Linked DNA regions of Ovis aries. The protein of the gene in region 2 purifies or fractionates together with the protein of the main gene of each other region. This does not show direct contact. Links are inferred from orthologs where the notes say so. Each region holds a gene or a part of one and is shown on either strand. Other genes may lie near its edges.

Evidence for each region. The genes of interacting proteins can lie anywhere in the genome.
Region 1: the proteins of STK11 (region 2) and COPS3 purify together in Homo sapiens (affinity purification with mass spectrometry; 5 studies listed by BioGRID and IntAct, with this or other methods). This does not show direct contact. The link is inferred for Ovis aries from reciprocal best matches to the Homo sapiens genes STK11 and COPS3.

Annotation. Positions count from the first base shown.
Region 1 is NC_056064.1:34,640,595-34,644,241, forward strand, and holds part of COPS3 (COP9 signalosome complex subunit 3), read left to right. Parts: intron 1-136; coding exon 137-229; intron 230-1,406; coding exon 1,407-1,586; intron 1,587-3,640; coding exon 3,641-3,647. UniProt on the Homo sapiens protein: Component of the COP9 signalosome complex (CSN), a complex involved in various cellular and developmental processes.
Region 2 is NC_056058.1:41,329,459-41,333,591, forward strand, and holds the start of STK11 (serine/threonine-protein kinase STK11), read left to right. Parts: upstream 1-1,269; 5' UTR 1,270-2,357; coding exon 2,358-2,647; intron 2,648-4,133. UniProt on the Homo sapiens protein: Tumor suppressor serine/threonine-protein kinase that controls the activity of AMP-activated protein kinase (AMPK) family members, thereby playing a role in various processes such as cell metabolism, cell polarity, apoptosis and DNA damage response.

The DNA.
Region 1 (3,647 bases), on a different chromosome or scaffold from region 2:
TTTAGAGGAGCCCATCAGTAGGGTCACTCTCATTTAGAGGAGCCTGCCTATAGCGTTACTTTCACTTGTAAGGGACAGCTTAGGACCAGGCATGCCGCCCCACTGAGACCCTAACTGACAGGCCTCTTTCTGACAGCCTCTGCGAGGAATTGGCGTCCTCAGGCAAGCCATTGACAAGATGCAGATGAACACAAACCAGCTGACCTCTGTGCATGCCGACCTCTGCCAGGTGAGCACCAGGGGCCCGGCCACCCGGGTCAAGGTTGGACGTGGTTGGGATGGCGCCATGTTTTAAGTGTCAGAAGCGGCACTGTTGCTGGAAGGGAATGTTGGGGCTGCTGACCACCAGCTGTGGGCTGCCACCCAGCCAGTCAGTGGGATGTGAGAGCAGTTTGGGGTTGGGGGTGGTGCTTGTGACCCTGATAGCACTCCCAGTAGGAGCTCTGGGGCCTGAGAACCAACTGGTGAGTTCTCACACCTGAAGATGTTACTTGTTTGTTTATTTTGTGTGACTCGAAACCCAGATGGCAAAGGAGGGATATGTGTAATGAAGCTGGCCTCTACCTGCTCCCCCGCCACCCATCCCTCCTTTCCGGAGGAAGCTGGAGTTGCTCATTTCTCCTGCAGCCCTCCAGAGACAGTTTAGCACACACCAGCAGATACGTGTATATTTTTGTCTCTCTAGTTTAAACACAAATAGTAGCAATCTATACAATGTCTTTTTCCCACATACTGTGTCCTGGAGATGATTTTGTGTTAGTGCTTTATAGCCACAGAGAACTCCATACTGTGGGTTTAGCCAGTCTCTGTGGGGTATCCAGATTGTTCCCTTGATGAACAACATGGGATGTGGATTATTTCAACCGCGTCTTCTCACTTCACATGGAGGCGTGCATTCTTTTCTCTTTTTTTCTCTTGAAACACTTTGTGGTGGAGGTGTGACAGGCACACGGGAGAGTTTAGGAGTCTCGGGTGTGCAGTGTTTGCACACCCGTGTGTCTGGTTCCACTGTCACCCAGGCCCGAGGGCTCTGCCGGTCCTGCTTTCTTGGGCTGCACATTCTCTGCTCATAGCCAAGGGAGTCAGAGCAGGCAAGGAGAGGTCTGAGAGGAGTTGTGCCCGTGCCACCAGGGCAGCAGAGAGCAGAGCCCACACTCGTGCATCATCTGTAGATGCCTGGGCTTTGCTTTGCTTGTGAGCTCTTCATGTCACAGCCGGTTAGCCTTTTCCAAAGAAATGCTGTTTTATTCTGAATGCCTAAGAAGATGGACGTGTCAACGTTTAAATCATTCTAGTCAAGTCAGATGTAAAGCCAAGCGTTTTCTAGAACCTTCTGTGTTTTCTCCTTTTGCTGATGTGTGCCGAAGTGCATGTGGGGTGATGGCGGCATGTATCTCTCACCACAGCTGTGTTTGCTGGCAAAGTGCTTTAAGCCGGCCCTGCCGTACCTGGATGTGGACATGGTGGACATCTGCAAGGAGAACGGGGCCTATGACGCCAAGCACTTCCTGTGCTACTACTACTATGGCGGGATGGTCTACACCGGACTGAAGAACTTCGAGCGGGCACTCTACTTCTACGAGCAGGTGGTCCCTCCCCCAGCTCGGGTGTATGAGCCTGTGTGGTCAGAGAGGCGTGCCTTGCCTGGTGGCAGGGGCCCAAGGCAGGAAGGGACTCGAATTCTGTCTGGTGCGGGTTGAGTTCTGTGTGTCTCTGGATGTTTGTGGAGCCTAGTGATCTTTGTCACGTCTTCTTGTTCTGAAATGAGGTGTGAAGTTGGGTTAAGTTTTTTGCCTTTTTTTTTTCGGTCCATGCTGCATGGCTTGCAGTATCTTAGTTCCCCAAGCAAGGACTAAACCCTGGGCCATAGCAGTGAAAGCACTGAACCCTAACCCTGAACTGTCGGGGAATTCCCAAGTGTTTCTTCTTTTAATAAGTAGGACATTCTTCTGGTTCATAATTCAGACGTATAAAGGAGTTCGGAGAAAAAAGTGCCTCCCCTCCACCGTTTTGTGTCTGTGATGAGATGTGCATTTCTGGAGGCTCGCTCAGGGCCTAAAAAGACAGGACTGGGAATAAATAGTGTTTTAAGATGAACTCGTCAGATGTTCAGTAGTTCAGTTTGATTCGGAGCGCACGTTCTGGTAATCAGAGGTGCTCTGAACCTTGGAGGAGCTCAGAGTGTATCTGAGATGCTGTGCAAGCATGTGCACATGCCTGTGAGTGGGCGTGGCCTTGGTCAGCGGGACTGACCAGTGTTACTGGGGCCTGGGACAGGGCGACTGGAGGTTCTGCTGGGCAGGCGACGTGACTGATACCAGACAGGCATCTTTTCTTACTGCTTTTCTGAAACATTCCAAAAGATATACTTGCTAAAAAAAAAGAAAAGAAAAAAGAAACACTTCAGATCACGCAGCATTACATCACATGAGTGAGAGCTGCGTCCACCTCACCCCGAGCGCAGGTGGCCCTGGGTGCTCCCTGGCCCCTGGTGGGCAGGCCCTTCAGCAGGTTCTGCTGCTTCGTGTGAAAGCGGTGCTTGTGTCCTCGTGCTCTTACAGGAGTGTTTCTGTGGAATAACTCAGAACGGCCTTAAAGGCCCAGGGGCTTGGATTTTGTTCGGGACATTTGGGCTGATTGGGGTGATAGATTTGGATTCTTAACCTTCATGAATCCATGTGAAAGAATGTAGAAAGGCAGCCGCAGAATAGGAGGAAATACTTGCAGGTGATGTTTCTGAAAAGAGACTCACATCCGGAATGTGCAGAGCTGTGAGAAATTCAACAGTACAAGCCCTGAAGTTTTAAAACAGGCCACAGATTTGAATAGACATTTCTTCAGAGAATATATCCAGATGGCCAGAAGCCTTGATCAAAAGGGAAATGCAGCTCAGAGCCATGGTGTGGCACCACGTCACACAGCAGGCTCTTGTGATGGGGTGCTGGCTGCTGACAGGGGTGTGGGGTTCCTCAAAAGGTTACACCTAAAACCTCCATGTGACCCAGCACTTTCATTCCCAGGGTTGCACCTGAGAGAAGTGACAGCAGACATCCACCTAGACACACATGTGCATGTCCTCGGCAGTGGGAGCCGTGCGGCCAGATGCCCACCCACCGAGGTGGTCTCTGTTTAAGTGGAGCACCGTTTGCCTGAAACAGAATAGGTTGTGACACAGGTTATTTCAGTGTGTGCCCTGGAAGTGTCACGGTGAAGCTGCTCACATAAGACCCTGTGAAGCCATTTACGGGAACTTCTGGCACTCCAGTGGTTAGGATTCCATGCTCTCACTGCCAAGGGCCTGGGTTTAACCCCTGGTCAGGGAACTGAGAGTCCATGAGCTACACAGCACAGCCAAGTAGGGGGAAAAAGAGCCATTCATATGAAATGTCCAGAGCAGGCAAGTCCAACAAGAATTGAAGTGGAGGAGTGGATGGCTGGGGAGGGGAGTATGGGCAGTGACCCCTGCCCGGCAGGGTTTCTTTTCAGGAGGGTGAAAATGTCCTGAAATTAGGTAGGGGGAACAGTTGCACACCTTGGTGATCATGCCAGAGCCCAGTTGTCATTAAAGGCAGTGACTGGGTGTCAGTACTATCTTCCGAATTCACGCTCTGTCCTCACTCTGATGTTCCTCTCCACCCAGGCCATCA
Region 2 (4,133 bases):
CCTACAGATTTAATTTCTCTAATAGATATAAGACTATGCAGATTATCTGTTTCTTCTTCATTGAGTTTTCATTTTAGTGACTTTTCAGGTGTTGGTCTATTTCCTATTGAATTTTGGGCATAGAGTTGTTCCTATATCTAATCCTTTTAGGTCACCTAGTTTTCTTGGTTAGTCTGGACAGTTTTAACAGTTGTTTTGATCCTTTCAATGAACAGTCTTTTGGCTTCATCAGTTTTCCTTGTGTTTTTTTTTTGTCTATTCTGTTTCATTGGTTTCTGCTCTGCTGTTTATGATTAAGGAAAAGGAATTTGGGGCTAATCTACATGTTTTGATTAGGGCTGGCTTGTATGTTGGTGTGATTTGTGGTCCCCCCGCCCCCAAAGCCACAGCAATCCGCTTTCTGTGGGTCTTTTGAGAATCTGATGAAAGTCCTAGATGTCCCCAAGAACACACACAAGGACACACTCAATTTCACGCATAGATTTAGGCAGTCCACAGGTGTCAGGCTCAAAACTCGCAGCCTGGAGCCCAAATCTGATGGTGTCAGACAAGCAGTTTGTTCTGGCAAAATAAAAAGTGATAAAAAACAGACAGGTAGAAAAACCCCACAGGCCCGGAGGAATTTTCAATTTCATCAAGCCCTAGTATTTTACCATCTCTGTATTTTTCATCCAAAGCACTTTGCTGGCACTATGCCCCGTGAGATTCTTTAGGGTAGAGACGGTCCAACGCACTTCTCGCCCCGTCTGGCCTGAGAAACGCTTAATAAAGGCTTTCTGCCTTCAATTGGCCACTTTCGGCTACTTTTTGACCCTTGACCTCGCTTCAAACGAGATTTCGGGGGACAGGCCCTAGCAGGCGCCCACCAGCATCTGTTAGCCGCATCCGGGCCAGCGAGGGCTGCGCTGCCCCGACTCCCGGTTCCGAGGTGACCCTCGGCCTTTGCGAACTCCAACCCCAGCCTTCAACCCCTCCCAGGTCAACGCCACAGCCTCACCTCCCAGCGCCTGCTTCCCGCCCCCTCCACTTGACGGGCGTCTCCGCGGGCCAATGAGCGAGCAGTAACCACCCCTGGGACGGGGCCGAACGAGAACCAATCCCCGCTCCGGGGCCCGCCCGGGTCCAAATGGCCCAATGGGCGGTGGCGGTAGGGTTCGCTGTGGGGGCGGTGCTGGTAGGTTTGGCCAACGGGCGTGCACGTCGGCGCCGCGGGGGGCGGGCCCGCGGCGGGCGTGCGGCGGAGAGGCGGCGCAGGGCGGGGGAGGAGGTAAACAAGATGGCGGCGGCGTGTCGGGCGCGGAAGGGGGAGGAGGCCCGGGGCGCCCGCGACTGAGGCGGGGCGCGGCGGTAGCGGCGGCGGGCGCCGGCCGGCAGAGCGGCCGCCTTGCATGGGCTGGGCCCCCGCGCCGCCCCGCCTGCTCCACGCGCGCGGCGGCCGCGGCGCGATACGCGCCGCCCGGGCCCCGGCAGCCCCGGGAACCCCGGTCCGGGGCCTGCGGCCTGCGCCGCCTGGGCTGCCCGGAGCCCCGCGCGCCCCACTGTCCGCGACCGACGGCGTTCGGGCGGAGAGCGATCGAGGGCTGCCGTTTGGGGCGGGGCGCCCGCCGGGCCCGCGCGGTCGCTTGGTGTCCCGGGCCGGTGTGCGGGCGCCCGAGCGGCGGCTGGTTCGGACGAGCCTTACTCTTTGCAGCCGGCGGGCCCCGGGCAGCTCCGGCGCTGGCGGGAGCCGGCCGAGCTGGACGAAGGTGCCCCGCGCGCTCAGGATACGCACCTGCTGGCGTCTCAGGCGCCCCAGACGGCGGGAGACGCCCCCGAGCTGCGCGCCCTGCTCCCGGCAAAGCTCACCTGCCCAGCTCCGGGAGCCCCAGAGCTGGCCTGCGCGGGGCCCCGGGCGCGCGCCATGGCCCGCTGGTAATGGACGGAGCGGAGAAGACTCGGCCCGGCCGCGTCCGTGTTCGTTCGAGGGTCTAAAGTCCCTGGAGGATGACCTAGCACTTCCCAGCCCCACCGGCCTCCCGAGGGCCCCCGTGGACGCGCCTGCCCGCCCCAAAGCTCCGAGGTCGGGCGGCCCCCAAACTTGGGACGCTGCGCACGCCCGCCTGCCCGGGCTCTGGACCAGCCGCGCCTTTTGAACTTACGTTCAGTACAATCGTTTCTTTTCCAAGAGGGTTTTCCTTTATTATTATTATTTTTTTCCTCTCTTATTTTTTCGATTTTGTTGACTTTATATTTTGGAGAAGGGAATTTTGAGGTGGGACGGAGGTGGGGAGAAACAAAAGGAAGAACCGCTCGCTCCCCGTGAAGTTCACAAAGGGGATAAGGGACCGCCTGCCGGAGTCGGAGGCCTGGAGTTCAGGATGGAGGTGGCGGACCCGCAGCAACTGGGTATGTTTACAGAGGGCGAGCTGATGTCGGTGGGGATGGACACATTCATCCACCGGATCGACTCCACCGAGGTCATCTACCAGCCCCGCCGCAAGCGGGCCAAGCTCATCGGAAAGTACCTGATGGGGGACCTGCTGGGGGAGGGGTCGTACGGCAAGGTGAAGGAGGTGCTGGACTCGGAGACATTGTGCAGAAGAGCCGTCAAAATCCTCAAGAAGAAGAAGTTGCGGAGGATCCCCAACGGGGAGGCCAACGTGAAGAAGTAAGTGCGGGCTTCCTGGGTGGGGACGCGCGCCGCAGGGCGGTCCCCTTCTTCCCCCTTCCCTCCCTTCCTCTTCCCTTCTCTCGGTTACTTTCTTCCGTCCGAGTCGACCAGCCAGAAAGAGTCCTGGGCATCTCTTGGGGGACTTCGGTAAAGTCAGGATCGCTCGTTGCGGCTGGGCGTCCTGCCCTCGCAGCTGCTGCGGGGCCCTCCTCGGAAGGGGGCGCCCCTCTCTCCCTGTGCCCTCTTAGCTGTCCGGAGGGCTCAGATAACCGGCGGAGGCGGCCAGCGTTGGTTTAGCTTCGGAAAACCAAAAGCAGTTGGGTTCCGAAAGGGCTCTGTCTGCCGCCGGCAGGTTTCCTCCTAGCGTGAGGCTGTTACTAGGGCCGGAACACGCCATTTGTTTACCCTGTTGGAGGGCGAAGCTGCGGTTGCCAAAAATAATTGTTTGCACCGGTTTATCAGTCTGCAGGGGCGAACTTGGCCCTTTCTCACTCGCCTGGGATGTGCCACAGGACACATCCACGATTTGCAGGCTCGGTGGCTTCTGAGAAGTGGGGGTCGGCTTGTGTCCAGACAAACTTTTTACACAGATTTTTTTCCCGCGCCTGTCTGGCCATAGGCATCCCCAAGGCGGTGGGAGCCCTGCCTCCGTCCTTTTTGCTGGTTCTGGGAGGGGGCACCCTTTCCTTATCTCTGCTGCCTGGGGATCCCACCCTACCCCAGCCCAGGGCTCTATCTAATGGGCCAGGCGGCAGGACTGGCTGGTGACCTTGGCCGGTCCTGGGAGTGCTGCTCCCTGATCACTCTCACCCCTCCTCCCAGCCCCCCTGCTCTCCGGGCAGTTTGACAGTGAGTGCCCAGCTGCCTCTGTCTGCTGTGGGACACCTGGAGAGCAGGGCAGTGGGGCCAGACCGGCTGCGGACCGTGTCCCAGCCACGGACCCCCAGCAACGGCAGGACCAGGCATCCCAGGGCCAGCCCAGCCAGTTCTCTGTGCCCATCTGCCACCTGCGTGGTGAGGGTTAGGCAGGGGCCACTAGTGTCCTGGGTGAGACAGGCCAGGGGACAGTGGGTGCCAGTGCCCTCCTGCAGGCTAAGTTAGGCCACACTTCTGATCCAATCCCCACTCCCTGTTTCTCTGAGTCACCTTTTCTCCTTAATCCAGAAGTGTATGGGGGAGAGGTGACCCTCAGGCTGCCAGTTGGCCACCACTGCGGTTTGAGGGGCAGTGGGCTTCTGGATGCTGCTGGCAGAAAGGGAATCCCCCCACACACACATTTTCTCCAGGGCTGGTCCTTGTCCTCCTGGCTCGTCTTAGGCCTCATCCCTTGGTCTGTCCCAGGAGTGGGGTGCTGGACTCTTCCAGCCTGGACAAGCCCTCCTGGATGGAGTTGGCGCAGGTCACCCTAGTGTCTGGTGCCTTATGCTTTGCTGCATCCCAAGCTGGGAGGGGCCAGGCTCATTTCCAGCACCAACTGATATTT